Caenorhabditis elegans: one gene and its partner. The gene in region 1 interacts genetically with each later gene. Each region holds a gene or a part of one and is shown in the gene's direction. Other genes may lie near its edges. The genes, in order: lin-17 and cam-1.

The links.
Region 2: of lin-17 (region 1) and cam-1, changing one enhances a phenotype caused by changing the other (phenotypic enhancement), as found in Caenorhabditis elegans (one study listed by BioGRID).

What each region holds. Positions count from the first base shown.
Region 1 is NC_003279.8:2,699,618-2,715,785, forward strand, and holds the start of lin-17 (Frizzled-4), read left to right. Parts: upstream 1-7,981; 5' UTR 7,982-8,011; coding exon 8,012-8,077; intron 8,078-8,484; coding exon 8,485-8,589; intron 8,590-10,301; exon of another isoform or gene 10,302-10,302; coding exon 10,303-10,449; intron 10,450-11,503; coding exon 11,504-11,788; intron 11,789-12,821; coding exon 12,822-12,931; intron 12,932-14,233; coding exon 14,234-14,455; intron 14,456-14,502; coding exon 14,503-14,791; intron 14,792-15,110; coding exon 15,111-15,437; coding exon of another isoform or gene 15,438-15,441; intron 15,442-16,168. Other genes in the region: F32B5.2 (Glycoprotein), read left to right, coding at 1-141, 195-338; F32B5.1 (arginine kinase), read left to right, coding at 803-985, 1,267-2,064, 2,113-2,325, 2,376-2,465.
Region 2 is NC_003280.10:9,299,727-9,315,744, reverse strand, and holds the start of cam-1 (Tyrosine-protein kinase receptor cam-1), read left to right. Parts: upstream 1-5,440; 5' UTR 5,441-5,443; coding exon 5,444-5,520; intron 5,521-10,891; exon of another isoform or gene 10,892-10,922; coding exon 10,923-11,054; intron 11,055-11,490; coding exon 11,491-11,659; intron 11,660-15,409; exon of another isoform or gene 15,410-15,434; intron 15,435-16,018.

The sequences.
Region 1 (16,168 bases):
AGTGTCAGCTTAAGTTATAGAATCTTCGAAGGATCCACAAAAATCCATTCCGATCATATTGGAACATTCGGAGTTGAAGGGTGGAAGGAGATGAATGTTCCGTTGAAAAGAATACCAGGGGATCATGAGATTTGTGCACAGGTAAAGGGTTTTGTAAAAAAATCATTTTTCTATACAAAAAAATTAATTTCCAGCTCCTGAACCCAGCTGTATCCCGTCACTACGTGTGCTCCAAAGTAGTCGATGCTCTCGATTGTCCATTTGTTCTGGTTTCCGTCTCCTCCGATAAATCATCTTTTCTTTGTCTTTTTGTTCTTTTACTTTTTGTCTGTTTTTGAATAGGTTCTAGTTTTTGAAATGCAATAAAAAATCGAAAGTTTAACCATTTCTTTTGTCCTGGGGATTTGGAAGGTTTTGAGGAAACAAGTGTCTAGACACGTCGTTATCATTGTGCTGACCTTGAAATTATCCAAAAAGGCAAGTTTAAGGATAGGTAAGGTAGGTAATAGTATAGTCTAGGCCTAGCCGAAGCCGAAGCCTAAGCCACTGAACAGTCTGAAAGTTTACCACCAATTCTCCAAAGATCGTGGCGAGACCCACCAGAATAACTTTTGATCTTTGCGCACAAAATAGGGTGCATCGATCCAGCGCAAAAATAAAAACAAGCTTCTCACGTATTTAAATTCAAAAGCTTGAGAAAAAAATTTTGAACAAAACTTTCCAAAACATTTTTTTAAAAACGTGACAATTTTCTTATCTAATTTCTAAATCTTTCCACGTGTTTTCCAAATGTCAACGTGTCATGAAAAAAGCTCAGATTGGTTATTACCGAAGAAGTTCTCGTTTGAAATTCGATTCTTCTCACTCAACTCTTCGTCTCGTCGAAATGGCATCGCAATTTCTCCGTTCAACAAACTCGCGGTATGTCGCTGGAGTGCTCGCTGCTCTTGGAGCCGGATCCGCAGTCTACACACTCACTCCACAGGTAATTCTAAAGCCAAAAAAGGGCAATTTTCAGAAATATTTCCTTGCTCCCTTTAATCAGGGACCGCGCAACTCTGAAGCCAATTTGAGGGGGCTCCCAGCGCAGCTGCGTCCGGAGCGGTATGCCCAGAACACGTGATTTGTCATCATTTTGAAGTTTGTAAATCAACTTTTCTGTTTGAGCCGTTCCACGCGCGAGCTGAAACTCTGACATGAGAATATATATTCTGGGAGTCGATTTTTCAGAAAAAGCTTTACAAATCTCTAATTATAATTTTTCAGCAACTTCAAGCCAAATCCGAAGTCGACGCTGCCACGATCAAGAAGATCGAGGAGGCCTACGCCAAGCTCAATGGTCCAGAAGGAGCCAAGTGCAAGTCGCTGCTCAAGAAGCATTTGACCAAGGAAGTCGTCGAGAAGCTTAAGACAAAGCGCACAAAGGTCGGAGCAACCCTTTACGACTGCATCCGGTCAGGTGTCTACAATTTGGACGCCGGAGTTGGAGTCTACGCTCCGGACGCTGAAGCTTACACTTTGTTCGCTCCATTGTTCGACAAGATCATTGAGGATTATCACGGATTCAGTCCAAAGCAGAAGCAACCACCAGTTGATCTTGGAGAGGGAAAGACTAAGGAATTCCCACCATTGGATCCAAAAGGAAAGTACATCAAGTCGACGAGAATCCGATGTGGACGTTCTTTGAAGGGATATCCATTCAATCCATGTCTCACTCAGGACAACTATCTTGAGATGGAAGGAAAGGTGAAGAAGGCGTTCTCTGAATATTCGGACAAGGAACTCAAGGGCAAGTACTATCCATTGGATGGTATGGGCAAGGATACTCAGAAGCAGCTGATTGCTGATCATTTCCTGTTCAAGGAGGGAGATAGACATCTTCAATACGCAAATGCCTGCAACTTCTGGCCAAAGGGACGTGGTATCTTCCACAATAACGACAAGACTTTCCTGATTTGGGTGAACGAGGAAGATCATATGAGAATCATTTCAATGCAAGAAGGGTCTGATGTCGGAGCTGTGCTTGACAGACTTATCAAGGGAGTTCGCGGAATTGAGAAGCAGGTTGATTTTCTAATAAGGCTCCGAAACTCAACATATTATGTTTTCCAGGTTCCATTCTCCCGTGATGACCGTCTCGGATGGCTGACATTCTGCCCAACAAACCTCGGATCAACAGTTCGTGCATCCGTCCACATTGCTCTTCCAAAGCTCGCCGCCCGCAAGGACTTCATCGAGATTTGCGAGAAGCTCAATCTCCAAGTGCGCGGAATCCACGGAGAACACTCGGATTCTGTTGGAGGAGTCTATGACATTTCTAACAAGGTAAATAAACCACGTTTTTTGTTGAAAAATCAACATTTCCAACTTTTCAGGCTCGCCTAGGACTCTCGGAATATCAAGCTGTGAAACAAATGTACGACGGAGTGAAGAAGCTAATTGAAATGGAGGAGAAGCAGAAGTAAACTGGAAGAAGAAGAAAAACTCGTTTAGTCATATTGTATTTCTCTATTAACTATTTAAATAAATGGTAGTAGAATGATTTCTATGTTTCTTTTCTTTCTCTCACTCTATCACCTACTTTTACTCTTTTGACTTGAGCTTGAGCACTTGAAACAAGTCGCTCTGAAAATTTTTCAGTGCATTTTTTCCCAACTTTAGCAGTCCGTAAATTGGCTCCAAATGTGAATGTTTGCAGATTTTTGATGATTTCTAGGGTGTTCAGGAGCCGGAAATCATTCAGATTCGTTTTTTGGAATTTTTTTTAATTTTCGAAAAAATTCTCATGGATTCAAAAAAAATTGAGTTTTTTTTTAAATTATAAAAAATTATTTAAAAAATTCTGAATGTTTGCCGACCCCTGAACATCCTAGAAAGCATAAAAAATTAGCAAAAATTCACATTTGGAGCCAATTTAGAAACCTCGAGAATTGTGAAAAAATGCACTGAAAAATTTTCAGTGGGACTTTTTTCCTGTTCAAAGTGCTCCTCTGCCGCTAAATTTTTTTCGTAGGGGCCTATTCAGAAGGCATAGGTCCGAATGGCATAGGTTATGTTCAGATGTCCGGAATTAAGTTGAAATACTTCCCTTGTTAGATCTGATAAAGCTGAATACACCTCATTCAACTTCACTAGACCATAACTCAAATAAACTTAGTTTTATCAAAAATTGTTCAACTGACAAAATATGTGTTATCTAATCTTCTATAGTTTTTTGGTTGAAATTTTATTATTAATTCTAAGTTGAGCTGAGATAAAGCCTAATAGTGACGATTGAAACATGGTGCATCGTCCTGGAACACCTCATTCAACTTTATAGGCTCATAACTTTGTTCTAAATGAATTTATCAAAATGTTGTTAACTAACAAAACACTTTTTATTGTATTTTCTACAGTTTTGCAGTTGAGTGTTTATTTGCAACTTTAAATTGAGCTGAGATAAAGCTGAATGAAACATGGTGCATCGAACTGGAATATCATATTCTAATTTAACAACTCATAATAAATCCCAATAATTTGCTAGAAAAAAACACTTTTAAAAGTTAATAACCCATGATCATCTATTCAAAAACCAGAGAAAAAGATTTCTCTCCCTTTCTCCCTCTGGTCTCCCATGGTGTAGCTGGTGGTGCAAGCCTTGTCTCCATCTCTCCCTCTGTCCTAACGCGCGCCATTCGCCACGATTTATAGCCATACATACACACACATTTTTATTGCTTTCGGACCCTCTGACACACTCAGCGATTCGTACGCTCTCTGACCCCGTCTGTCGTTCGGACTCTCTGCAATGGGAATGCTATCTGAGAAGCCGATCAGCATCGACACCACCAGCAGCAGCAGCAGCAGTAAGAGGTTAGGTCGGACCCCAGTTAACCCCTCTCTGACTTCAGTTTGACCATAACCTAGTGACTTTTGAAATTTCGATTTCGAACGATGCTCCGATGTACTCTGCTCCACCCGGGTTCTACATAGCTTCTGGTTCTCTTAAAAAAGTGACCTACCGTATATTTTCTATAAGTATTGGCGTATCTATTAGGATTACACCCAAAGAAATTTGAATTTCTCGCAAAAAATGTTTTCTCAAAAATTCGAAAAATTCGAAATTCGCCAAAAATGTTCATCAGAAAATTGAATTTTCCGCCATCAATATTTTCTCGGAATATTTGAATTTCCAGCCAATAATTTTTTCCCAGAAAAATTCAAATTTCCCGCATAAAAATTTTTCTCAAAATTTTTTATAAGAAAATTGAATTTTCCGCCATCAATGTTTTCTCGACAAATTTGAATTTCCCGCCAAAAAATGTTTCTTTAAATTTTTGAATTTCCCGCCAAAACATTTTTCACAGAAAATTGAAATTTCCCCTAATGCTATTTTCTCAGAAAATTTGAATTAACCGCCTGAATTTTTCGCGCAAAAGTTTGAATTTAGTGCTTTCTAATTAAGTCCTAAAATAATCTAGAAAAAGACTGAATTTTTGAAATTTTTGTTCAAGCTGGAAAAATTGAGTCAGCAGAAAAAAAATAAAGACTTCCATAAAATTATTAGCATACCAGAATTTTTTTATATGGGATCAAAAATAAATCGGTGGCCTAGTTTCTAATTTTTTTTCTAGGCCACCTAGCAAGTTTCTGTGACAGTCCAAACAGTCCAAATCAAAGAAAATTTAAAGTAAATTTGAAAAAAAATCGATAATAGACTCCGCCCCTATCCTGGTTTTTTTTTGGCGTTTTCCTAGATCGCAGAACAGAGCTCCTCTCCCTGCCTAATCGCCTCTTGATTTATTCTCTTTATCTCGAAATTCCACCCCTTTGGTCTCCACCGACCGCTCTAATTTATGGGGGTTTGCAGCAATACTCAACTCCCTCACCATCCCTCTCTCTACTTTTTTTCAAATGTTCATTTTTTCGCGCGCCCCTACCACTTTTTATCACCTTTTCCCATATATGATGTCGTCAACGTCAACCTCCACTCCCATGTGTCCAGTCAAGAACTTTTTTTTTGTTTGGGGGGCTATTTGCACTAGTCGTACTAGTCATCACTTTTCTGTTCGCCCTTTTTGGGGAGAAGATGTTCTTTCTATTGTTGATCGGAGTTTTTTTGTAAATGGAATTTGTTGAGTCAGTCGATTTAGGAGTGAGGTGAAATTATTGTGCAAAAATTCTGGCCGGCTCATTTTTTAAGAACTTGCTTCAAACGTAACATTGTCCAAACCAGTTAAAATGTTATTTTTAAATTTTAAATTTCGGTCCTTAAAAACCAGACCTCGCCTATTTATTGGTTTTTCTTTCTTTTTTTTCGTAAACGCTCTGAGACCAAAAAAATTTGGCAGGTTTTTTTCTAGCTTGATTTTATATCTTACAATTTTTACTACTCATATAAAAGGTTTCCAACATTTTGGTTAAAAAACCTTGTTAATTTTTAAAAAAGTTTTCTTTCAAACAAAAAATTCTAGACACCAGAAAATACATTTATCTAATCTAGAATTTTCTTCTGATTTCGAAAATAAAACTTTTAAAAATCTCATTTCAATACTCGCAGATTTACGGTGATTTTTACACTGCGAGAAAAGAGAGCGCGCCTGGGACCTCTCACTCTAACCCGACGCCTGCAAAAAAAACCCTGCAACTCAGTTACTGTTATAGCTGTGAATATGAAAAGGGAATTTTTGGAATCAGCGGAAAAATTTGCTCTGGATGTTTGTGATTTTGAAGTTTTCTTACAATTCTTAAAATACCGCTTCAACCACAGTTTTTTTTTTAAATAAAAGGCGCTATAAAAATTATATTTTCAGAATCAGCGGAACATTTTCGTTTAGATTATTACAACTTTTTAGAATTTGAATATTTTTTGTAAAATTTACCTCAGTCTTTGCATAACCTCCACATCCAATCCCCATTCAAAAAGTGGTGTCTCTAAACTTTTTTCCAGCCCATTGACGATCCCGTCTTCAACACTCCCATTAGTCCCTATTTGCCTCTGTGAACCTTTCCTTTCTTTCTATTTTATGTTCAAGTCGACTAAAAAATACTTTAAGATAGACACACTTCGCTGCAAAACTCCCAATAATTTCGACATTATATACCCTCAAAGCGAATTTTTCCGCTAATTCCAAAAATATGCTTTTCATCTCTCTAGCTAAAAAACTAATTAAGTTACAGTGGTTTTTACAGGCGTGTGAGAGAGTGAGAGGTCGCAGACGCGCGAGAGTGTCTGCTTTCTCTGCGCTCTCTCATCTTTCAGTCGCTGGACTAAAACCCCCGTAACTCAGTGAGCTTTAGAGTGAGAGACACAAAAAGTAGATTTTCGGAATCAGCGGAAAATTTCTGTTTGAGGAACAAAAAGTTGTAAAATTTGGGAATTTTTTTAGTAAATCTTCTGAGGCCTAAACTTATTTTCCAGCCCATTGACGATCTCGTCTCCAATCCTCCCATTAGTCCTTATTTGCATTTTTACCTTTTCAAAAACTTCTCCACCTCAACCTCCTCCGTCTCCATCTCTCTTCTTCATTCTCCGTTCATCATTGTCCAGATGTGTGTGTTCGTATCAATTGCCCCTTCTTCTTCTTCTGATACATGTGTCGTATACACATACAATTGCCTATGACACGGGTCTCTATGTCATAAATCTCTTAAATTCTACAGCCCACCCTCCTCCTCCGACATCATCGATCGGGTGGTGTGCGTCTTTTCTCCATCTCCCCTTCTATCCACGAAGAACCTAATAAATCAAGACATTAAGAAAGAAACGGAGATCTTTCTGTTTGAGATCCCTTAGGCTCGCCCACTAATTTGACGTTGAAATATTGTCTCGATTTTGAGCCGCCTGAATTCCATCTTTTTGAAATTTTAGGCCTTTTTGAATTTGAATTTGAATTTAGTATTTTTCTTTTTTTTTCGTTTTTTCCGGATTTTCAGACTTTTCTATTCTGTTGAAAACTGGAGAAATCTACAAACTCCCCTGATGGCCGAGTTTTCCATTTTCAAGGCCACAAAAACATTATTCAAATTCATCGAATTTCTAGGCTTATCTAAAAAGTGATATGCATGTCTTTTTAGATACTCAATCCCCATTCAAATTTTTTGAAAATTCATTAACTGGGAGCCTGGCCTGTATTGGACGTGGCCTAGAAAAATATTTAGTGGCCGAGTTTTTTCTCCAGATTTTTGCAACAATTTTCACTGTAATTTGAGTCAAAATATTTTTTTTTAATTTAAAATATTCAATTTAGGCCTAAGTTAGGTAAACGCGCTCCACTGAGAAATAACTATGCAAACGCGCTTCGTTGAAAAATGGTGCAAATGCGCTTCATCGGAGAAAAATACAAAAATGTATTCCATCGAAGAAGATGATGCAATTGAGCTTTACTATGCAAATGGGCTCCATCGGTAAGTACAGAAACATTTTGATTTTCGGTGTTTTTTCGTGCCCCTTTTGTCGCATTGGGATTTGAAAAGATGCCTATTTCTTCCCGAAAAAAAGTTTCTTTCAAAATTTCTAGGTCCCACCACGAAGTTCATAAGTCCCACGGATTTTGGGTCTCATCACGAAAGTTTTGTATTAGGTAATCTACTAACAACTTTTTATAAAAGCACATCAAACCCAAATAGTGACCACTGATAGGGGGCGGAGCCTAAATCAGCCAACTAGAGAGCACGAGACGCAGCACACACCGTGTGTGTTTGTGCAGACGTCTTCCTTCTATTCTTCTTTCTCCATTACTCTCTCTATATGCTAACCAGACGGGTGCTGCTTCACCAGGAGCCTCTAATTTTTTTTCTGGGTTTGGTATGATTTTTCTAGAGCTTTGAAATTTTTTTAAAACCAAACTATAGATATTTTTCCCAAAATTTCAATTTTCCCATGGACCACTTTCCATTTCTCTTCTCCTGTTTTTCTTCTGTTCTCCGCTCCTCTCAACTTTAGTATTTTCTCGTTTTCGCTCCTCAAAATTGACTCTAATTATTCCGTAACTTTTTGAAGGCTCCTCGAGAGACTGGCTCCTTCTCCAAAATGATGCATTCTTTGGGCATCATTCTACTATTTATTCCACTCGCCACAGGATCAATTTTCGATCAGGTAGACTTATTGGAAATCTGAAAAATCGATGCACCATGCCTTTAAAAAATTGCACTAAACTTGCGCGTCAAATCGGATGTATTTGATGCTTTGCCCATCCGTTGCACCATGTTTTCAAATTTTCGATTCACCATAAGCCTACGACTTCTGTCCTAAACTTGCGCGTCAAATATGGTGCACCGGGTGAGTCACTTGAAAAGTCGATGCACCTTGATCTCTGTTATTAAGTTTACAGTTTACAAAACTTGCGCGTCAAATATGGTGCACCCGGTGCGTCACCCATATCCTAAAAAGTTGATGCACCATGTTTTAATGCACTATGGTCATTTAGTGAATTTGTCCGTCAAATCTGGCGCATCTAGTCGTGCCACTTTCCTAGATTAAACACCAATTTTTCAACTTTTCAGGCGGTGAAAGGGAAATGCATTCCGATCGACATTGAGCTATGCAAAGACCTGCCCTACAACTACACATATTTCCCGAATACCATTCTACACAACGATCAACACACGGTAAGCCCCCTTCACCAATAATTTCCATATTCTATCAATTCCTGAATCGGGTGATTTGCATAGAGGAATGGAGAATGAGGGAAAAGTTAAATTTTCAAATTGGTGTCCCATTCCCAGTCACACACAGAAAAGAGGGAACCGACTGACGCTGGTCGCCGCCGCCGCCCGCTAGCGGCAACTTCAAAGAGCCCCTGGTCTCGGCCAAAAAGTCTGCGCACTGGCCGGTGCACACGCTCTCTGGCCATCGCCCATCTCATCAACATGGACAAAAATACGCGAAAAATAAATGAGACAAAAGGGGGATGAAATGAATAGGGGGAGAGGTACGGTCAAAAAATATATGGTGCCGCGGGAAAGATTAACTCCGTTTTTTTTTTTTGGGAAATTGGAAATGGGGATTTTGGCCTATTTCAAAAAAATTTTAATTGCTGCATAATTTATCATGGCAGAAGGAGTCAGGTGTCAAAATTTTAGGACATATTTTTTAGGACATTCTAGGCCCAAATTTTAGTCTAAAACTTTAGGCCAACATTTTTTGTCCAGAATTTGGTCTGAAAATTCAGGCCAAACTTTGAGCCCAAATTTTCAGACAAGTTTTACGCAATATTTTTAGGCCATATTTTTAGGCCAAATTTTTAGACAAAAATTGTAGGTTCTAGGCCGCATTTGTAGGTCAACATTTTCCGTCCCAATCTTGGTCCGAAAATTTTTGTCAAATTTGAGTCCAAAGTTTTAGGCCAAAATTTATTCAAATTTTTAAGTAAAAAATTGTAGGTTTTTGGCCACATTTTTAGTCCATATTTTATTCAAAACTTTCAAAAGTTTTAGTCCAAAATGTTAGATCAAAACTTTAGGCCAACATTTTTAGTCAAAAATTTTTGGCCAATTTTTTAGGACAAATTTTTTGCCAAACATTTTAGACCCAAATTTTAGGTTCAACATTTAGTCCAATTTTTAAGCTAAAAATTAGGTTTTAGGCCACATTTTTAGTCTATATTTTTATTCCAAACTCTTAGACAAAAGTTTTAATCCAAAATTTTTGTCCAAAATTTTAGATCAAAACTTTAGGTCAACATATTTAGTCCAATTTCTAGTCCAAAATTTTTTGAAAAAAAAAACAATTTTGAGGCTAAAATTTTAGTCCAAAATTAAAGGCGCACACTCTTATTTTGTTTCGAGACCCGGTTAACAAATTTTTGGGATGAAAAGCACACAGTGGGTTGGGGTCCACTCCTCCGGCACGGTGGTTTTTTACTAAAATTTTTTGTTTTTTGTTCAAATCCAAACCCACTCTCTATCCAAATATTGGTTTTACATACAACTGCATTTTTATGACCACACCGGCTAAACGTTTTTCGATAACAAACTGATAAGCGAGGTGACGGCGGCGGCGGAACCTCAAAGGGGGCACCAGCGTCTAAAACATGTTTCTAATTTTGCTCCGCCGCACTTTTTACGACCTCCCGTTCTTCTTCTTCTTCTTTCTGTGCTCTTCCCCTTTTCATCAGATACGCATTTGCATTTCGAAGGGGGGAAACGGGGAGGGAAATGGGTTGTGGAAAAGATCCCCCATACTAATTGCATTTTGGGACCACAACAAAAGAGCCCCGGAGCCCACCCAGTGGAAGGGATTTCTATACAATACAAGGGTGCCGGAGAAAACATTTTTAAGGGTTTGGACCGGAAATCCTAAGAAAAAATTCGTACTTTCAGCTTCAAACCCACACGGAGCACTTCAAGCCGTTGATGAAAACAAAATGCCATCCACACATTCACTTCTTCATTTGCTCCGTTTTTGCTCCAATGTGCCCGATTGGAATGCCACAGGCCGTGACAAGCTGCAAATCCGTTTGCGAGCAAGTGAGGAAGAAAGTGGCCGAAGTTTTTATTTGGCGGCCACGTAGTAAAAGTGGAAAAATATTGGGATGGGTCAACTTTCGGACAAGTAGCTTTTTAGGGTTTAACAGAAAATCCAAAACTTTCCGAAATGAAAAAATTTTTCTCAATTATTTAATTTTGCGAAAAAATTTTCAAAAAGTTTTTAATATTTTTTCATATTTTCTTTAAAAATTTAGTTTTTAGAAATTGGCAAAATAATTTTAAACAGTTCTATAAAATCCAAGTTCGAGCCAAAAATCTAGAAAAGTAATAGCTAAAACTGACAAAAAAGAAAGTTCGCTTGTCCGAGAGGACTACACAAACCATAAGTCTCTGTTTTTTCGGGCAATTTTTTAAAAACTGTTTTGTCTTGTCAAAAGTTACATGAAAAAGGAAAAAATCGTCTAAAACCCGAGAAAATCCCTTGAGGGGTAATTTGAAACGGGGGATGTGGAAACGCGAAAATTAGAATAGGAGAGGGCTAATTTTTTTTGAGAAGGTTTAAATGGATTTTGTGAAATTTTGCCATTATTCTACAAATTATCATATTACAATAACAGAAAACTTACTTCCTAGGCTTAAACTAGGCAAATCCTCCGCGTTTTCGCATCCCCCAAATCTAACATTCCTCTAAGAGACCTCACGCTTAATTTTCTGATTTTTACGTCATTTTTAGCAGATTGTAACCAGAGCCTGTCATAATGTTACCGTAATGTCTTAAAATTTCCTTTTTTTCGCAAAAACCGCTCGATGCACCATGTTTCAAGCCAATTAACTCCACTTTTTTTGCAATTTCTTATTCTCGAATTTCCAAAGCAGCAACACCTGTTACTCGCAGCTGTGTGCTTTTCCCCCAATTAGGTGCTCTGCTCCACGGCTCATTACGTGCCCCTGGACAGGTGGACATCAATCATAATAGGAGCAGCAGCAGCAGCAAAAGTTGACTGTCTTATTGTAAACATCTGGCAGATGGGGGGTCTTGTAGGGCGGGTATTGTTTACCCTTAAGATTAACACACTAAAAAATTTTATTGCAGGTGAAAGCGGATTGCTTCTCGATATTGGAAGAATTCGGGATTGGATGGCCGGAGCCGCTGAATTGTGCACAATTCCCAGATCCACCGGAGCTTTGCATGAAGCCTACGGAAGACGAGATAACTGGAGGATTTTCGGCTCCCCGGCTGCCTACAAAAGGCTCGAGCTCATCATCCTCCAAGCCAACCGGGTGCCCCAGTGACCTTGTCGATGTGGATCCACACGATCCCAAGTCGCATTGTGCATTCGCGTGCCAGTCGAATGTGATGTTTAGTACGGATAATAAGGTGAGTTCGGATGCCTGGTGCCTGCCTGCCTACAAGGCCTACTGTAGCAAACTTGCGCGTCAAATTTGATGCATTGAACCATTCACCGAATTTGCTAGAATTAAGAGGCAATTTTTGTCAATAGAGCGGGTTTGCATTGCATTCCAATTTTGCAGAATAAAAGCCCCGCCCATTTCATGGTTTTTTCCAGAATAAAAATTTTAAAATATGCTCAAATTTCAGGAAAAAAAACCATTTTGTGGGCGTGTTCTATACACCCCCGCCTTTTTATGAGATTTTAAATTCGGCTTCCGGAAAAATCCAGAAAAATAAGCTCCGCCCATTTCATGGTTTTTTTTTTCCTTCCAGAATTCGGTTTTTGAAAATAGCTTGAATTCCAGAAAGAGGGGGAAAACAAGCGCCACCCATTTTGGGGGCGTGGTCTATAAAACTCCTATTATTAATAATATTAGGTTTTTAAGGTTCGGTGTCCAAAAAAATCGATAAAAATAAGCTCCGCCCCCCATTTTCGGGGTGTGGTCTGTAAAAGTTTTTTGACATTTGGCACGTGGTGTCAGGCTGTCCATTACTATTTGATCTACAAAAAATGCGGGAATTTTTTGCCCAAAAAAATATGACGTCAACACGTAATTAACCATACGAAATCAGTTGAGAACTCTGCGTCTCTTTTCCCGCATTTCTTGTAGATCAACGTAGATCAAGCCGAAATGGGACTCTCTGACACCACGAGATTTGGTTTTAAAAATCGATTTCCAAAAAGTTAGCAAAATAAGCCCCGCCCATTTTTGGGGCGTGGTCTATTAGACATATTTTATGAAGGAAGAAATTTTTGATTTTCGGAAAAAAAATTTTTAATTTGTTTAGCTCATTTTTGACCTATTGAATATGCGGCAAAAATTTAGAAACTTTTTTTGCGCGTCAATTCAGGTGTATTATACGGACCTAATGCATCAGATTTGACGAGCAAATTGAAAAATAGTGGGAAATTCAAATTCCACCCCTCATATGAAGCGATCATTACTATTAATTACAGCGTATGGTACGTTCATGGTCAATTTGGTTTGCCGCCGCAAACGCCGGCGTTGCTCTTTTCTCCTTCTTGACGTTCGCCATCGACCGAAAGCGATTCCGTTTCCCGGAGAGGTTTGTTATTATAAAAATGGGGGTCCTCTGGTGGACGAAAAAAGATGAAAGAAAGATACAATGAGAGAAGAAGCCAATAAGTGGGTAATGACGACGAGATGAAAATGAGTCACTTGGGGAAAAGAGGGTTGCAATTGGGAACCAAAAATCGTATATTTTTCCTGAAAATGGAAATGGGAAATAGGGTCTTACCGCGAAATATTTTATTTTACAGTAAAATATATTGTAATTTTAAAAAAACAAAATCAAAAATTGGCAAACTAAACATGGTGCATTGCGACATTTTGACGAAAATGCACTTTTAGAAGATTTAACGAAAAATGAACAAATTTTAATGAAAATCCAATTTTTAAGATCAAAATTTCATATTTTTTAAGGCTCAGAACTAATTCTCTAATGGTGTTTCACAAAATTTTGCTTTGCCGGTCAAATATAGACCAGAATTTTTGAAAAAAAAACAGCTCTCGATGCACCATGTTTCACCAGCAAATAGATTTGGACTCTAGCAAATCCTCAGCAAAAAGGTAAATTGCCGGAATTTATATTTCCGGTAAGTCGGCAAACAGGCAAATTTCAGTTTTGCCGTTCTGCTGAAAATTTTTGGCAAGTTGTGATTTTGTACTTTTTGAAGTTTCAGATTTTTTTTCTTTTAAATTCAATTTTAATCGGTAAAATTTTTAAAAAAAAGGCATCCTATCAATGTTCCTACATCTATTTTGAAAAGTAAGCAAATTCTATGAAAATATCTAAAATATAGAAAACGGGAAAATTTTTTTCAAAACGGCACAGTTTTAAGTATTTCGGTTTTATAAAAAATCCATCTAAAAATTTCCGGCAAATGGAAAATTGGCAAATTGCCGGAGTTGAAAATTTTTGGAGAATCGGCAAACCGGCAAATTTGCCGGAATTGGAAATTTTCGGCTAATTTGCCGGAATTGGAAATTTTCGGCTAATTTGCCGGAATTGGAAATTTCCGTCAATTCGGCAAAACGGCAAAGAATTTTTTGCCGAACGGCAACTGCCGCCCACTCCTGATAGAAACTCCTTCCAAAACCATTATAGGCAAGTTTCAGAAAGAAATTACGCGAAAAATCAGACAAAAATCGTTGGCCGAGTTTTTGCTTTTTCTAGGCCACGTAGAAAAATCAATTACCTGTATTTTTTGTTTTTATATCTTGGAAGCTCCTGATTCTCAAAATGATTTTAAAAAACAAATTTTAATCAGCTTTTTCTTTTAACTTTTTGAACAAATTAGAGCATACTGCAAATCCTGGAGAATCTAAAATTCCAAAAAATTTCCAGATGCGTCTTCTACCTATCCCTGTGCATCTTCATCTCCTCCCTCCCATACCTCACGCCACTCTTCATCGATGCTCCGATCCGATCCTGCCACGCACTTGGAAACGGGCGGTCATACCTGTCAATCGGAACATTTGACAATTCATATTGTCTTGCCTCATTCCTTCTTAACTACTTCTTCAGTACAGCGGCTGCCCTTTGGTGGTTAATGTTCTCATTTACACTGTAAGCCACTTATTATGTCAGTTAATCCCACCATGGGAATATTGTAGGTATTTGAGCGGTGGAAGGAAATGGGTGCCAGAAGGTATCGAAGCATGCAGTAGTTATGTGCATTTTGTTGCCTGGGGATTGTCGTCGCTGGCCACGATTATTGTGCTCATTTTCAACAAAGTCGACGCGAGTGAGCTCACCGCTCTTTGCTCCGTTGGGAATTTGAATTCGATTGCGTTGCTCTGGTTTGTGATTGTTCCCCGAACTATTTGCATTGTTATTGGAACATGTTTTATTGTTGGAGGATTTGCGAGCATGTGCAGAGAGAGAATTAGTTTCAGAACAAGGGTGAGTTTTATTAAATGGCCGAATTTTTTATCTCTTTTTCTAGGCCACTCATTTTTGAACGATTTTTGTGCGCTAACATCGATGCACCATGTTAGAAAATATAGAAATTACCTATTTTCAGTAATTTTTTCTAATTTTTCTAATCTAAAATATTTTTATAAAGTCTTGAAAAAGCTTGGAAAAAATCTGAAAAATTAAAAAAAATTTCAAAAATAGACTTACTCATCCGAGACGAGCTCAAAAATCAACGCTGAAAAAAAAATCCGCATTTTTCGTAGATCACACCGTAAAAAAATCAATAAAATTTATCGATTTTCAGGGCACAGACACATCGAAATTGGAGAAACTAATGGTGAAAATGGGCTTCTTCTGTGCTTTATTCATCCTTCCCAACGTCATCGAACTTGTCTGTCAATGCTATAAATTCATGATTCTCACCCAATGGACCCGAATGACAATTGACTGTAAACAACAGTCAGGTGCATGTCATCGGCCGACACCGCCGCAGGCTGAAATTTACATGACCGCCGTAATTTCCAGTCTCGCCACAGGATTCTCGTGTCTGATGTGGGTGTTGTCGGCGAAGACCGTCCACGCCTGGAAGAACTTCATCTTCTGTGGAATGTGCTCGTCGGCGCCGGTTAAAGTGAGTAAGGAAATGTGCTCTATTGAAAATTGCTTGACTGACTTTTTGTTAGGAAGAGAAACAAAAATTTGTACAGTTACAGTTACAATACAGTTTGAAAAAAACATTTCCTGATTATTACGGTAACATTAAATTCTGAGAATACGTATTGCACAGCACATTTGACGCGCAAAATATCTCGAAGCGAAAACTACAGTAATTCTTTAATTTACTACGGTAGTGCTTGTGTCGATTTACGGAAATCATTTATTAATGGATAATTTTTTTAAAGTAAACACAATACCGAAAAAATGTCACAATTCATTTGAGATCCCGTAAATCGACACAAGCGCTACAGTAGTCAATTAAAGAATTACTGTAGTTTTCGCTATGACATATTTTGCGCGTCAAATATGTTGTAATATACATTCTCAGAATTTTGTATTATTTTGCTACAAAATGAGAATACAGGATAAATTGAATATTTTTCGCAAAAAAAGCGGATAATTCTAAATTTTGCTCGTAAAATAGAACGCATCGGACGCAATTACACCAACTTGACGCGCAAAACCAACAAAAAATTCTGAAATTGAGAATTTAAGCCCGAAAAAATCGTTTTTAAATAGTTTTTTATGCATTTTTTTTTGGAGGAATTGCTAAAATTGTTTTACAAAATTTAAAAAAAAAACGGTACTTGTGTATTACATGCCCTCATTTTAATGGTAATTTTTAAGCCATGAAAAATAAAAACG
Region 2 (16,018 bases), on another chromosome or scaffold:
AAATTCTCCATATAAATTCGTCATATGGAATTTCAAAATTACGAATTTTTCCCCCAGTGTTTGAGTTCATTTTATGTAAAGTACAAATATACCTACCGCGTCTCAAAATTGAACAGAGGTCTCACTTTAATTATTGAGCTGTAATGAATTAAAAACATATCTAGAACTAGGTATAACGAGATACGGTAAAAGATACGGGAAATTAGAAAAAAACTTTTTTTTATCAACTTGTTAAGAAAGTGATAGAACCATTCCCGAGAAAAATTCAATCAATTATCGTCTTCAAAAACATTTTAAAGAGGATGTATCTAATGAAAATGGTAAAGCTCAAAATTTGCTCCTTGACTTTGTCGTTAATAATTAAAGAAAATATTTTTAATTCTAGAATAACTTGTCATTAATTTTTAATCGGGATGTCTAGCTTTAAAAATATGAAAATTGCTCTCAAATAGAATTCTTAAAAACACTATTTCTAGTCTAGATTTGGAAGTTGTTCCATTCATTAAAAATAATATTGTACACAAAAAACTAGGCCTAATTTTTTGAAAAAAAAAAACATCACCAAAGTTATGTTTTAAATACAGTTTGCAAATTTCAAAATTCAATGTTTCTTTGGTTTTCATGATCAAAACACACCCCCTTTCCACTCTGATATGTATCCAATTACCACCACACAGTTTTCTGATCATTTAACGAATGATGTTTCAGATGAGGTGTCAATTTCTTGCAGCTTTAAAACTTTTAAAACAATCTCCGCATATCCTCCGTCATTCTTCCCAAGTACACGCACTTTCTTCTCCACGACATATTGAATTTCGTTTCGAGACATCGTCGGCGGTTATCCGTCCGGAAATTCGAGACGTTTTGAACACACTTTCCCGCTCTCTTTCTCTCGTTTGCTAGATGTCTGAGTTTCGTTTATTGCACAAAAGCTTTTTAATTTTATTGCGCTCACCTGGATGAGCTTTTAGTATGATTTATTTGGACATGAATTATGTGTATTCTGAGTATAGTTTTCTTGAAGCTCATATCTAGAAACCCAATTGTGTAATTCAGAATTAAGCAAAAGTTAGATTTTAGAAAATTTAACGAATAAAAGTTCGATTAAAACGTTGATAAAAAGTCCTATTTTTTAAAGTTCTTACTTAGCTAGCTACTATTTGCCAAACTTCAAAAGTTATTAATTCCCAGAATCCGTCACCAAGCATTCAAATTATTTGAAAAGCTTGTCCGAAATCAAATCCCGATTATCCTTCCTTTTTCCAAAAATTCTTTCAACATGACCCTTCTCACTCTCTTCCTATTCCATTCACATCTGACAACTCAAATTAGTTTCCAAAACCTGTCGATTGTGTCTGCGTATAGTCAATTTTCCAGTCTCTATAGGAATTGGAGAATTAGGGGACTTTGCAACTTTGAAATTCTCGCTCCTATTCGTTTTTTGTAGAGTTCTTGCGAGAACGGAACGACAACATGAGATATGTTTTGGTTATGCTTCCCTAATGACCGTGATAAGAGAGATTTGCTATTTGAAGGTCGAATATTTCTAGGAAAAATAAATTTTTAGAACCCCTAACAACCCTTTTTTTTATCCACACATGTTAACTGCAAATTTTTGATATACTGAAAATTTGGCTTCAACTTGCCTAATGCTTTGCTCAAAAAATTTTACCTGTTTCAGAAAATGCCAAAGATTTAGTAGATTAATGCCAAGAGTAGGACCTGCGTCTGATCGTTGAGGTCTAAAATAGGCTCCCCACTCATGCACTTTCTTTTTTGTATTGCAAAGGTTGAGCAACGAGTATGCTCATGTCAAAACTTTCCCTTCTTTTGTATCCAAATATTTCCGAATGTCACAGCTGACCGTTCAGCCAGCTTCTTGTAATTATAGAAAATGAAGTGCCTTGTACATCTTTTCTCATTCTTGCCCATTCATTTAACCGTTCCATTGTTCTTCTTCGTGTTCATCAAAAACGTCAAAAAGGGTTCCCGACATCTAAGCTTTTAGTACATTAGGACGTGTTAGGCTTCTGCTCAAGTATAATTACTCTCTGTTGAGCTCGACAAACCTTCGTGTTACCCCATTCATAATTTGCCTCCTCTTCTTGGAGCATTTCAACAAATCCTTTTGACTACTTGTTCATTGAATAGCTCTTCTCTTTTGAACCATTGTCCCTATTATGATCCCCGCCTTTTCTTTCAAGTTTTCGCTTCTCGCTCCACTGCACTTGCCTATCTCTGTCTCTCAATACTCACCGAAACGTAATACCGTAATTAGGAAACGAGAGAGATTGGTGAAAGGAACAAGAGAATAGAGAGAGGTTCGGTGTGCCATACTTCCTGCCTTGTTTGAGCACGGGAGCCTGAGCTCCTCTGTTGTTGTTGTGTTAGACTCGGTTAGAACACAATGAGGAGACACCTGAGAGTCTTTGAGAATGGAAGAAGGTGCTTGCACTTCAACTTCTCCCGAAATTGATATTCGAGAAGAAGAAGAAGAAGATCATCTATGCTCTTGTGTTCTCCAATTATTTGTAGAAATTTCGAGTTAGAATTTGTACCGTTTCGAATTTAAGACGAATCTTTCAGCTTAGCTTTCTGGCTTGTGAAAACTTTCAAAGTTTTGCATGCTCGCCCTCTAGATTTGAAAGCCTTAATTTAGTTAAAGCATTTGCTAACGTAGTAATTAGGAAAAATAAACTTTGAACATGAATTCATTTTTTCCGATGGTAACCCATGAAATCTACAGTACCTATAGAGATAGTCCAGACCTCCTTAAAAAATTTGAATTTTCTTTGAGCTGTCGCCTTGAATATGTTAAATATGTTCAAACTATTCAATCATTTCGTGTCAATTTTGAATATAATTCAAAACTTTTTGAATGTTTCCTTCTCCAAAATCTCCCGCCCTTTAGCAATCCCCCATTGCTTAATCCGATCTTTTGAACACCTTATTCTACGTCTCTCACTCTATTTTCATTTCAACTTGTTCTCATTTTTGAATAGACAAACTTCCGGAGAGAACGATTACGAATTCTTCAAAACTTCTTGTTTATCCTTCACATTTCAATGGTCCCATTCATACCCTTCGTACCTATGGGTGCCAGAGCTCTTCACACCCTTCTGTTGGCTCAAATCACCATTTTCCTATTTTTCTTCTCTTGGTTCATCCACCCATTGTTGTCGTTGTTGACGTCTAAAGAGGAAGAAGGAAGAAAGAATATTTCTAATTAGAGGTATCCCTCCAGATGTGCCATCTTTTTGGCACATTGGAATCAAGTACAACAAGCGGTCCTAGCTAATCAGATTTCTCTTGTTCCAACTATATGAGCATATGCTAATTTTCTTCATTTTCTCTAGAGTTTTGTTCCAAGTTGTTTTGCAAAATAGGAAATTAAAGTTTAAGAAAGTTCCAGCATAACGGTGAAGACAACTCAAAACCCGATCTGCCCGTATTTTGATTATTAGGACTTTCACATCTAATAGACTCCTATCAAAACTTTCTTTTGATAACTGTACCATACTATAAATTTTTAGATTGTATTGAAAATTTGACACACATAGATTTTTATTTAGCATAGAAGCTTCTGAGTGATTGAAATGCGACTAAACTTTAGTTTTTTGGGAATATTTTTAGTACTACAACATTTCCAGCATGCCTATTCAAAAACAATTCCCACCAACAGAATTCCGTACCAACTCAACTCAATTTCCAATTTTCTTCTCCTACGGCTACTTGTTGTCCATTTTGATTATAATCGTCTATTTCTCTCATAGCTCCTTGTGCTCAACGCCTAATCCTCTTCTCTGCTTCCAACAGCAGCATAAACAAATTTTCACACTCAAGGACCCGCTTCTTGAAATTTCTCTCTTCTACATTCGGTGAACACAATTCTGAAGCAGCACGAGCAGGAGCATGCACTTACTTTCAAATTCTATAATAATCATTTTGCGTTTCTCTTTTTATCCGATTTACGCTCTCAGGGATGAATGCTCCAGTGTATCTAGGATTTTGAGAAACATATACAAAATTAGCTCATGCTGAAGGTTTCGAAATATCTACTGCAGATCACACATGTTTTAGGAACATACATTTTGGCCAATTTGTTTATATCTACCGTATCATTTCTAATAAAATTATTGTAATCATTTACACGTTCTGAAAGTTTTTTAATCGACCTGAAAATATTTGTTCACATAGTCGAAAGGTTTGGAAACCTGCCCATGAATTTACGAACGTTCATTGGACTTTCTGGACATGTGACAATTTTTCAATAATTTAATTAGAAGATCCATGATCTCATATTTTGTGCAATATATAAATGTTTTCTCTGAAATTTAGCTGTTCTTCTTCGAATGGGACTCTCCCAGAATTCCCGTTTGAAATTCCATTCAGAACATCAACAGGAAGCATATCATTTGGTTTTCTCACGTTATTTCCGGAGTTTGTTTTGGACCTTGATTTTCAAGTATAAATTGGGATTTGGTTTCTAGTATTAAAATGACAAAGTGAAATATTAGAAAAAATATTTGGAAATAAAATCATGCAATTAAACATTTTAAGAACACCATTTTAAAAATTTTACAGTTGAGTTTTTTGATGGGTGAAACACCTAAATTTTTGACAAACTTTCGTCATAATTCCACTTTCTTACTTTTAAAATAAGTGACAATCTAGTGTATATCCAGCTGTGTCAGGAAACTCAATTATTTTCCAAATTGCTTTATAAGCCTTATTAGACAGGTGTGAAAACCCGTGTATTACTAAAATTGCATGAAAGAATGCTCATCTTTTCTTCTCTAAATCTCTTTTTCATTCAATTTTCTTCCATTTTTCATCACCAACTCTTTCTTCTAACTCATTGCTTCACAACTCTTCGTGCTCCTGCTCATTTCTCAGTCATCCATCACATTTATTTTACATGCAAAATGAGTGGAAAAGCGCATCAAAATGTGTACTACTAATATGAAAATGACTTTTTTCCCGTCTCTTTTTGTACTTCATCCTCAATTCATTTCGATTTGAGAAAAAAAGTTTCATTGGTGGTCCTGAAAGTTGTCATCTAATGAAAAAGACCTGCGTCTCTTCTGGAAATGAATTCAGAATTAGAAGAGAGAAAAGTTGTCGAATTCATGACTTAAGAAAACTGAAATTCTATACTTTTTCTTAAATTTCCTCTCAAATTCTCATGATAAATTCTGCGATTTCTGAAATCTCACCTGCCATTTCTCAACTTTTTTTTTAGCCGGCTTAAGCTTTATACTTCAATTCAACTTTTGCTTCACTGAACTTTATGAATTTCTGTTTTTTTAAAGTAATATTTGAATTACCTTTTTTTATGTTACTGGTGCTGAAATTCTCGATTCGAATAAATTTTTGAACTCTGTATATTACCATCTCGTTCCATTTTTTAATTTTTATACCCTAAATCTTGAATATTCCAGAAATGTCTCCCCGACCAGAAGACGACGATCTCGTGATAGAACCAGCCGACGATGAGGGTCTTCACTACGGAAATGCATCGTGAGTATTACTGTCTTTTGATACGATAATTATAGTAATTAGATACGGGTGGTAGAAACTGTAGCTGCCTATTTTGGCAACAAACGGTTCGGTTATTTACTATCAGATTAAATGAATATGGGTCAAATACAAGTAGTTTATTAGATTGCCTCAAAAACACAAAATGCTTAAATCTAGTGAGTCTATAGATGTACAGTTTGCTGACTACAAAAATTTTTAACGACCTCTAAAATGCGCGTCCACCTCTTGGCGTATAAAATATAAACTTTAAAAGCATTTAATCAGTTCATATAGATTTTCATATATGTTCATATAGATCAGTTCATATAGATTTTCAAAAAATGTATTTAAAATAAACCCAATTACTTCTTGATTTCTGAATAAAACCATATGGTTACCGCCATCCGTTCCCACATTCATCAAGCTCGCCCGATGAGTATTATGCAGTATGTGATCTTCACCGTTAGAATCTTGATTATAAAAATAATGTTCAATGGGAAATTTTTCTGCAATTCTCCCTCCACCCAACTTATTATCTTCATTCAAAATCTTGAAAACTTCCGTCGTGTCGACTTCCCATTTTTCATCTTTTTGACAAGTTTGCAACTTGCGATTAGTTTTAGCGCAATTTTTATTAGATTTTGAGTTAAATTAATTGCTAAAGGGGTCAACTTCGAAAGTGATTTATTTCAAATTTTTGTGAATTTTAAGTAGCTAATACTTTGTCAATATCAAAAATCAAATCGTTATGAAAATAATTTTTGGCTCGATTTTTGCCTAAGTTATTTTAACTTGTTAAAAAAATTGACAAACTTTATATAGTGCTTTTAGGCAAAACGTGGGCAGAAGCTGAAACTCGCTCAATTTTTTCCATTTTTCGAGCAATACTTGGATATGGTCTCAGTCAAGTGTTACAAATTTTTTCGCCAGTTTTGTATTTTTAAGAGAAAAGTTGTGTAATATTTTGGTGCCAAATGCCGATATCTCACATTTTTGATGAATTTTGGTAATTAGATATAACATCACGATCCAAAATTTTCCGTTAGCACCCATTCTTTTGGAAATTTCAATTATTATTTTTTCATCCATATTTTGTACCACTATAGAGCATCAAAATGTCATTCCGGATGCGGAAATTGGGTTAACTGACACAAGCTCATTTCCCTCAAACAAACGGAGTGACATGCCCATATAATGGATGACCATTCTCCCACCTCTTCTGTTCTACATATTGCATAATCCACTTGACACCTATATACATCCACCAACACCCGGACGTCTTCCTCCTCTTTCACCCATACAACGGACCACCCCCACCCTAACCGTGACCATCTCCTCTCTCTCTCTCTTTCCCTAATATCTGACAAAACGGACTGACCTCTGCCTTCTTTCCTACTGTCAGTCATCCCCTGTGTCTCTGCGTCTCATTGAATCAGTATACTATTTCTCGGGGATTCTGTCGAATGGGCCCTCCCCGCCAAACGCGCTCCGCACATTCATCCGACGGATGGACTACTCGATTTATAATTTATTGGCCTTGTAATGATGACACATCGTAAAAAAGAAGTTAATTTATCACTATTTATTAGTTTCTTTTTCTAATTAATTTATAACTTTCGAATCATTTTTGAACGGTTTTTAGTGATTAGAAAACAGTTTGATTCCAATATTAAGGTCTTATTACTAATCTATAATAGGCATTTTAATACTAGCTTGATTTAGTCTGCTTAATCCTAAATATCGTTCAGTCAATCCGCACTTCTCCTCCCCGGAAATGAAATATTCCTAAACTTGAATTAGCTGAATTTATCTTGAATTTTTATTTTGGTTTCTAGGTTTAGTGTACTAAAATCCTGGAGATAGTTTTAAACAATCTTACGGTTTTTAACAAACCTCCATATTTTGCCATTTGGAGAACTATTCTTTAAGTGCGCAAGATTTGTTTCCACAACTTTTAACTAAATTCTAAATTATTTTTATATCTTCAGCCTCACATGTAGAAAAATTTGTCAAAACTTACTTTTTTATATTCGTTATCAAATCTCTTATTTTTCTTCTTCTCTTATCACCGATTCCATTAATTTGACCTGACAGCCGAGCATGCGTTCCACATCTTTTACGTCATCTATCTATTACCATTCCATCTTCTTCCCGTATTCCAAAACTCCCTTCACACCTTTTGTCTATACTTGTTTCCCAGGCTCTGTCAGTATATTTGCAATTGGATCAATATCCTATTACTCCTGAATAGGCTAATGGAACTCGCATTTCGATGCGAATAATAGTCATTTAGGTGGGCTATTATTACTGACTAGTGAGTCTCGTGTTCAGGTTTAGATGAAATTTTGTTTTGAGGCAAGGTTATACCTGATAGAGCATTTTTGATTTCGAAATTATTTTGCTCAGACTGAACTATTTCCATTTCTTTCAATGGGTGGCAAACTGCAGTTAGTCAATTCACAGTCAACTTTCTTCAGGCACAGAAAAATTGAGTGATTTTTTAAATTTTCATATTAACAATTCCACCAATTGCAAGTACACCCAACAACCGAAAGTGATTGTAAGATCAAAACATTGGGTTGAAAAGTGTTTGTATCTATCTCGGTCTCTTCTTCTGTAGTAAATTGTGCCTAACACACTGTTTCAATGTTTGTGATCCACTTTCCAATTCCGTTCTCATCATCATGTTTATCCTTGTCGGTAGTCGGCTTTTACTGGCTCTCTGTAGAGACTGTGATGATCTTTTATAGGAATTTGTGATTTGTTTGGACAACTTGGAAGTCAATTTTTTAAACTTATACTCCCTAGAAAGATTATTTTCAGAAACTTCTTAGTGTAATTTTTCTTATGTTTCTATTATAGTTGCCCAAAAAATTTCAACACCAAAAAACTACATTGCTTGATTCCAAATTTGAAAATTCGAAATACAAGTCACATACACACTCTCAAATTTGGCACCATGAGCCCATTCTCCATCTCTCTGTGACTCTTCGAATTTCCCCATGTTCTTTAGTTCATTGCAACTCCATCAATCTTCATCATTATTTCAACTATTTACGCGCCCCCAAGTCTCGCACACACACGGACAACTTTCGTGATTTAGTGAGTGAGCACAGGGTCCCTTTGGTGGTAGAAGAAGAAGCGAGAATGAGGAGCCAATGGTGGAGAAGGAGCAAATGTTCGATTAGTTTTGACTGATGCTCTTTTCATTGCTTCTCCTCCCTCCCAATCCATCCGACTCATTTCTCATTTATTTTCACTAGAAGTGATGGAGAGAGACCTAATTAGCTTGTACTCTTCTTCCTGCACGAGTCTTGGAAATTAAATTTGTAGCATTACTACCAATAATTTGTTCATGTTTACAAATAATTCCAAACATACAATAGTTTGTAGGTTGATGCTAGATTCAAATTTAAAAATAGAGAAATCTTTTTATTTTGCTCCGTTGCAATGATGCTCGTCTATCAATGTTTTTTATGTACTTTACCTTTTCTTGATCAATTTGTTCTAACTTTGATTACCCTCTAAAATGTTTCATTCAAACCTTTTAAGAACCAAAATTTCTAAGCAATAATCTCCACACATCTGTTTATCCCCTCTTCATCACCATTCACTGAGAACATAAGCATACAAAAAGCGTACCCTTTTCCATCACCCCGGGACCATACACACTTGATCCGATTATTCTAGGGCTCTTGAGCAGTTTTCTCCGTGTCGTCGTTGTCGATAAGTGCAAAAATCTGCTCAATCTTCGCTTGTTTGAACAATCTGTCATTTTTCGGAAGCTGGGACATGGGACAAGATTTTGAGTTTTTTTTTTGAGATGCTATACTTTGTTGTGAAATTTAATGTTTTTTTGGATTTGATCTTAAAGTTTCCACTGAAAAATTCTATTGAAACTTGCTGGGAATGCGAGTTTTTAAGGTTTCTTAGAAATAAATATATAATTGCTCCACTTTTAATTCAGAGAAGAAAACGGAGAATGTAACTTGAAGTCTAGATAGGCATTTTCTAAAAACCAGGGTGGTTATCATAATTTTTGGCGAGGTTTTCTTGGCCCTCCACCATTCATATATTTTTTTTGGATATTTGATCTTTTGTTCAGACTTGATCTACCAAATCTTTAAAATTGAGTTTTCTCGACCGCTTCTTAATTTTTTGTTTATTTCTTTGCATTTTTCTCTTTGGTCAAGAAATTGTTTAAGTAATTTTATTTATTGTTAAGTTTCTCTAAAGATTTGGGTTTTCCAATGCCAACCATCATCCTTCTAAAAAATTCTAAAGTTTAGAGCAAAACTTGAACGACTACTAGCGCTAGTACTCCAATTCTTTTCAAGTCTCCACTTATTTTAATATGAATAGAAATACAAAGTTCTCCTCTCTTTCTTCCTATTTCGGACAATTTCACTTTGAAAAGAAAAGTGTCATCTCCATCTCTCTGAGAGCACAACTATTCTCTGCAAGTTTCTCTGTAATCTCGTAAATTTATGTACTCTCTAATCGCCTGTCCAATTTCACTTCATTTTCGGGGACTCTAGGAAGAGACCGAGTTGTGCTGGCTATGCGACATCCCACTTGTGTGAATAATGAGCTACTAGTTCCTACATTGACTGACCGACAGCTTCATGCAATTTATGACCCCTTTTGGTGTCGTCTTTCGTTAGCCGTTTTTTGGTAAAATTTTACGAATATCGGAGTTTTGCAGTTCATTAGTTGAATTTTTTTAATCTTTTATTTTTCCGAACTGAAAGTTCGAGAAATGCAATGTTTGTATAAAACAACAGCTCTAGTTGAGCATTATCTTTTTTTTTCAAATTGAGCTCATCGAACAGTACTTTTTTAGAAATTTTACCCTTTTTGGAAAAAAAATGACGAACTATAATTTCTTTGTAGACCCCCTAATAGTTAATTTTCTTTTTCTTATCAAAACTTATAAACTGATAAACTTAATACAACGTTATGATATATTTGTTGCGGTTTTTGTTTGATAATAACCGAATTTCAAATTAATTTCTCTTATAGACATAGGTTTTTTTAAATTTTCAAATCTAGTATTCATCTTGGTTAAAAAATTATCTACTCTCAACATTTTTTCTGACTTAATCATTCCAGTCCACTCAACTTTAAGCCAATTTACAAATGAAAACATAACAATTATTCCATTAATTCTCACCATTTTCCCTTATTATCTCGCCTTCTCAATTTGCATAATACCCCAAGACCATATGTCATTTTCTCTCCATTGCCTCCTCGTTATTCCCGACAACTGGCTCTTCCTTGAAGACAAACATCCTTCCATTAAATTGTTTTTCGGTGAATTTATTGCTTTGGGAATATGTTATATTTTAGTTCTAAATTTGCATAATTCTAGATTTCTTTCGTTAACTTTCATTTTGTCTCAGAATGGAGGGTACATCAACTGGTCAACGACCGTACATCCGTCTCACTTCTCAACTTCGAAATGCCACCAAAAGTTCGGGAGACGAGGTTCGGTTTAAGTGCGAAGCACTTGGAACCCCACCACTCAAATTTATGTAAGTTTTTTTTTGAAAATTTGTTAAATCTTAAATTTTGAAAATTAAAAATTTTGAATTTTCCAATAATTGCAAAACTATCAACAACCGTCATACAAAACATTTAAAAAATTATTAAATAGGTTCAATAAATTTTTTTGTTTGGAGGTTTCAAAATTAAAGTTTGCAACTTAAGAATATTTGTTATATATTTGTTTTGAAATATAACTCCACCTATTGGTTGTAAAAACTTCTTGCAGAACCATTCCAAGCTTGAAAAAACCTTGAAAAATTTTGTACTTCCTCCAAGTTACAAAACTTTACAAAAATCCATTGTAGCTTAAAATTTATATTTTTTTTTGCAAGGCTCAAAATTCGATAAAGATACCTTTTGCTAAATTTTTAGCCGGACTAAAAACGCTTCAAACTTCCGAAACTCAATTTTTTTTGATTTTAGATGGCTCAAAAACAATGGTCCAGTGGAAAAGACGAAACGAGTGAAAATTCGTGATAAGGAGAATTCATCTCGACTAGTCATTACACAATTGGACGTATTAGACAGTGGATACTATCAATGCATTGTCTCAAATCCAGCAGCCTCGGTTAACACGACAAGTGTGCTCAGGGTTAGTTGGAACTTTTTAGATGAATGGGAATATGTTGCGAGCTGGGATGTAGTTCTAGAAAAATGTCAGAATGTTCCAAGCACAGTTACATCATGACATAAAATGGAGCTCTTTAAGACTTGTATAGTCAATTTCATTTCTCTTTCATTCCGTCTCTTTGTACCAATTGGTAGCGCATCGCCTTTTCTTTCCTTTTTCCGTTTCTCTTTGAATCATCAACCGATGCCTTTTTCCTTTCCGCTCACATCAGCTGTGCTAGGGGTGCCCATTTTGTTGCACCCCACCAAATTGAAATTGTCTTTGGTCTCGGGCTCCCTAGTAGAAGTAGTACTAGCAGCATTTTGCCATCTCAAAAGTGAGAGTATTTCGAAATGAGTCGGTTATTTTTTGGTCACTTTGCTGGAGATATTGCGAAACCTATTATCCTAGAGCATTTTAGATATAGGAGGGCACTGAAAATTTTTTTAAAAAACCGATCGCATTTTGCTAAAAATTGTTATATTCAATCTACCGTAAACAGGACTCACCACAGTTCAGGTAAGACTGAAATAAACAATTGAAAGAGTGCGATTTTTTTCACCAATAGCAGAAAGTTAAAAATTTTATTGTGCACGTGCATTGCCGGTGGATATACAAAAATTGCCTGGAATTATTTTTGAATGATTTTATACCATTCAAAACTAAAATTTCTGCGATTTGCACAGAATTATTCAGAAGAAAAGTATATAATACCCACTTTCTGTTTTTTTTCCGTTATGCTGAAATGTGTGACTTAAAACTGATTTTTTAAATTGGAAATTTTACAACTTTCTATTTTTTTTTGACAACCAAAAAGTTTCCAGTGTATCCAAACCCCCACTTGTTGTTCGTTTTTGCGTATTAAAAGTGAGCATAGAAAACCCAATAAACTAGACCTCCAATTGAAACAGCTGACCCTTCTGGACTAGTGCAAGGATACCTGTTGGGTCACTTTCAAACTTTCTTAGTGCTCCAAAGTAAATGCTCCAAGAGTTACCAAGCAAATTTAAAAGTAAAAAAAAGCAAAGAAAAATTACATCCAATTAAGCCGATTTTGCTATCAATGAAATTTTATCGCTTGCAATTTTTCAAATCGAATGTTGCCAGTTTTGAAGTTATAAAAATTGTCTTCCAATTTTTGTCTAGAAGTTAAATTATATGCTTACTAAATTTAAAAGGGTTTTCAAATAATTTTATTAATGTTTCATATCATCCCCAATTGTCCATCCTTTTTCTTCTTCTTTTGCCAAAACCTCAACCTCATCGATAGACCCTCGATAGTTGTCAGCTCCAGTGATGGATCGTTCTCCTCGTCTTTTCCCTCTCCTTCTCTATGTGTGGTACCACACCGAATACCACACATTGTTCTTACTAGTATTCCTGTTTTCTTCTTCTTTTTTTCAGTTACTGGTATCTTCTTTATCTCATTTTTCAATTTTCGACACCTGAAGATGATTTGCGACTTTTGGAGGGAAACGGTTCGGGTTTTAATGCCTAAAAAAACGCAAACCGCCAAATAGTTTTGAAAAAGATTACTTGTTGGATATATTTTTTAAAAATGCACTTGAGGTTTCCTCAAGTGCATCTAGGAAACATTTTTTACTATGTTTCTCTATCAGGGTTGCACCGCATTGCTCTAATTTGGTAGCTCATAACTTTCTTGTATTTTGCTTTAACAAAAATTATCATATGTGGAAACATTTGTTATTTCCTTTTTTGCATATTGGTATTGTGATATTTTTTGATAGTTGTGAAATGTAGCAAGATATATGTTGTTAAAGTTTAGTGGACTGATATGTAGGGTAAATTCGTTGTATTGCCAAAACGTCATTTTCAATTTCATGAAACAATTTCACTTACAAGGAAAGGAAGTCAATCTAGTATCGGACTTTAAATTGAGACGTATGTCATTTGAAAGCTTATGTTTAGACTAGATCACCACAAAAATTTCAGCGGCGGAACTCAACTCTGAACCCCTGAAATCGCCATCTGAAAGTGTTCCAGTGCATTTTTTCGCTGAATTCTAGGTCAAGGAAATGGCCTTAAAAGTGGTTCTGAGCGATTAGAAATTGTTTTTGGTGGTTTTTAGGGTCTAACAAACAATGTGGGAGCTTTTTGGAAATTTTTATTTTTTTGAAAAAAATCTGAAATTTTTTCGATCCATTGGACACCAAATTTTTGGTCAAAAATTTTTTTTTTTTGAAAAAATTCCAAAACTATTTTTTTGTATCCGGGCATGCAAAAAGCTACATATTTCTTCGAATTGAGCCTTTTTACAAAATTTTACAATTTTTTACAAAGGGCCCGATTGCAGTTAAAAAAAATTATTTCCACTGACTTCCTTTCCTTGTTAATAGATTTGAAAATATTATTTTTCGACTGAAACAAGATTTTCAACCAGTTTTTTTGTAGACGTTTTATCCAGCACCACTTCAAAATACCATGTCAAAAGAGCTCTTGAAATAGATATTGAACCGCCCATATAGTGCACATCTGTCATTCGGTCTGTCTTCTCACTGCTTCCCTCTCACAAACAGACCTCTCCTATCTCGATTCGATTCTCCGTCAACCACCCATCCATTACGGTCCTTTCTCACATTTTCCCTCATCATTGTTATTTACAGATTGTTATGTATAGTTTCGACGACAAATCTGCAAAATGAAAAAAACACATGAAATAATGGAAAAATGAATTATAGAGTTAATTGAAAAATTCTTTATCACAACCGTTTGTGCCGACAAACTCCCGAAAAACCTTGTGAGCCCGTCCTTCTGACTGCTCTATGATCTTCCGGCGTCTCTTTCAATCATATTATCTATTCTTATCTTACCTACCACCCGATGATAGACCCCGTTCGAGAGCAAATTAGTGGTTATTTATGATTATTATCAAAAGAAACATCAGTCTCTCTAATGATATTTATCATTTTCTGCCATTTTATTGATTTATTAGTTTAATTAGGGTTTTACTAGAATATTTAGTTTTGAAATAATAGTTTCATGTTAGAAAAACTTTTATTTGCGCTAATTTTTTTCGAAAACCAAATACGGAGTAGGCCCGCGTGTATGCCCACAATAGAATTTAATAAGACTAAAAATAGGCCCAAAATAAACGTATAAAACTTGAAACTTATGATAATTCTTCGGATCTCAATTGTTCACATTCTCTTGCAAGTCTTCCCCAGAAACCAATTTTGGGATGGTCGTGCATATTCTAGTACATACATCTTGGATCATCGTAGTACATACTCGTTTTCAACACTCTAATGTGCCTCCAAACCCGGCGGTTTATTCTTTTCCTTTTCTTCTTTTTGTTTTCTTTTCTCTGTGTGGTGTCCCACCCGAAACATTTTTCCAATTTAGTCAAAGAAATATATTCGTATACATTTCGGATAAGCTCCCTCCATTTTTTGTCCAAAAAATCATTTCCAAGTTTTGAACGTAACAACCTTGAAAGCCAGCACTCATGCAATAATATTCATTTGTGGACCAGAAAAATCAACAAAAAAACGAGTGGCCTGCAAAAACAGGTGTTCATTTATGCGACATATACTCCTCTGGTATTTGCCTCGAGAAAATTTCTGCGTTTTTCATTCTCTAAAAGAGTCTCTTTTGGTTTGCCATTTCTGTTTACTGAACCAATCTCCAGATGAGGTCCAGATGACAACGACGTTCCTTCTCTTACCAATCTCTTATAATCGATCACTTTTTCTATTCTCGTGGACATATCATGTCTACCCATCTTTCACTCTCTCTGCTCTTCTCGGACAACGCTAAATTCTATTTACAAACCGTTTTCTTTCCTAAAACGTTCGATCAGTCAGATGCTCTCTCTCTCCATTTCTATTGCACACCAAACTCGCATTAATCATATGCACCGCCCATAAATGTCGCCTTCTCGGGCCAATTGAAGAGAACAAGATTCGAATTTGTTGTGGTCAAGACCACAATTGCATTCTATCGAAATCGTTGTTCATTTTCTAGCCAACAACATTTTTATCTCCATTACCTTATTTACCAGTAGCTATATTCATCATTTCTTCCAAATTCCCATAACTCACTTGACCACCCCATAATCTCCCATTATTTTCACCCTATTTTATTGCCTCATTCTCATGTTTTTTCCCTCCCGGAGCCTTCGGGCTCTCGAGAAAAAAGTGAGAAGTGCAACAAATAACAGGCGTCGTCGTTTGTTGGGGCTTGTCTGACGGAATGCGAGATTCACTTGATTTATGAGGCTCCTCCCTCTTCTCATTCCCTACGTACTCCTTCGTCTTCTTTTTCTTCCAACCTAGAGGACTCATCCTCTCTATATCTCTCTGTATCCCGAGTTAGAAGTTT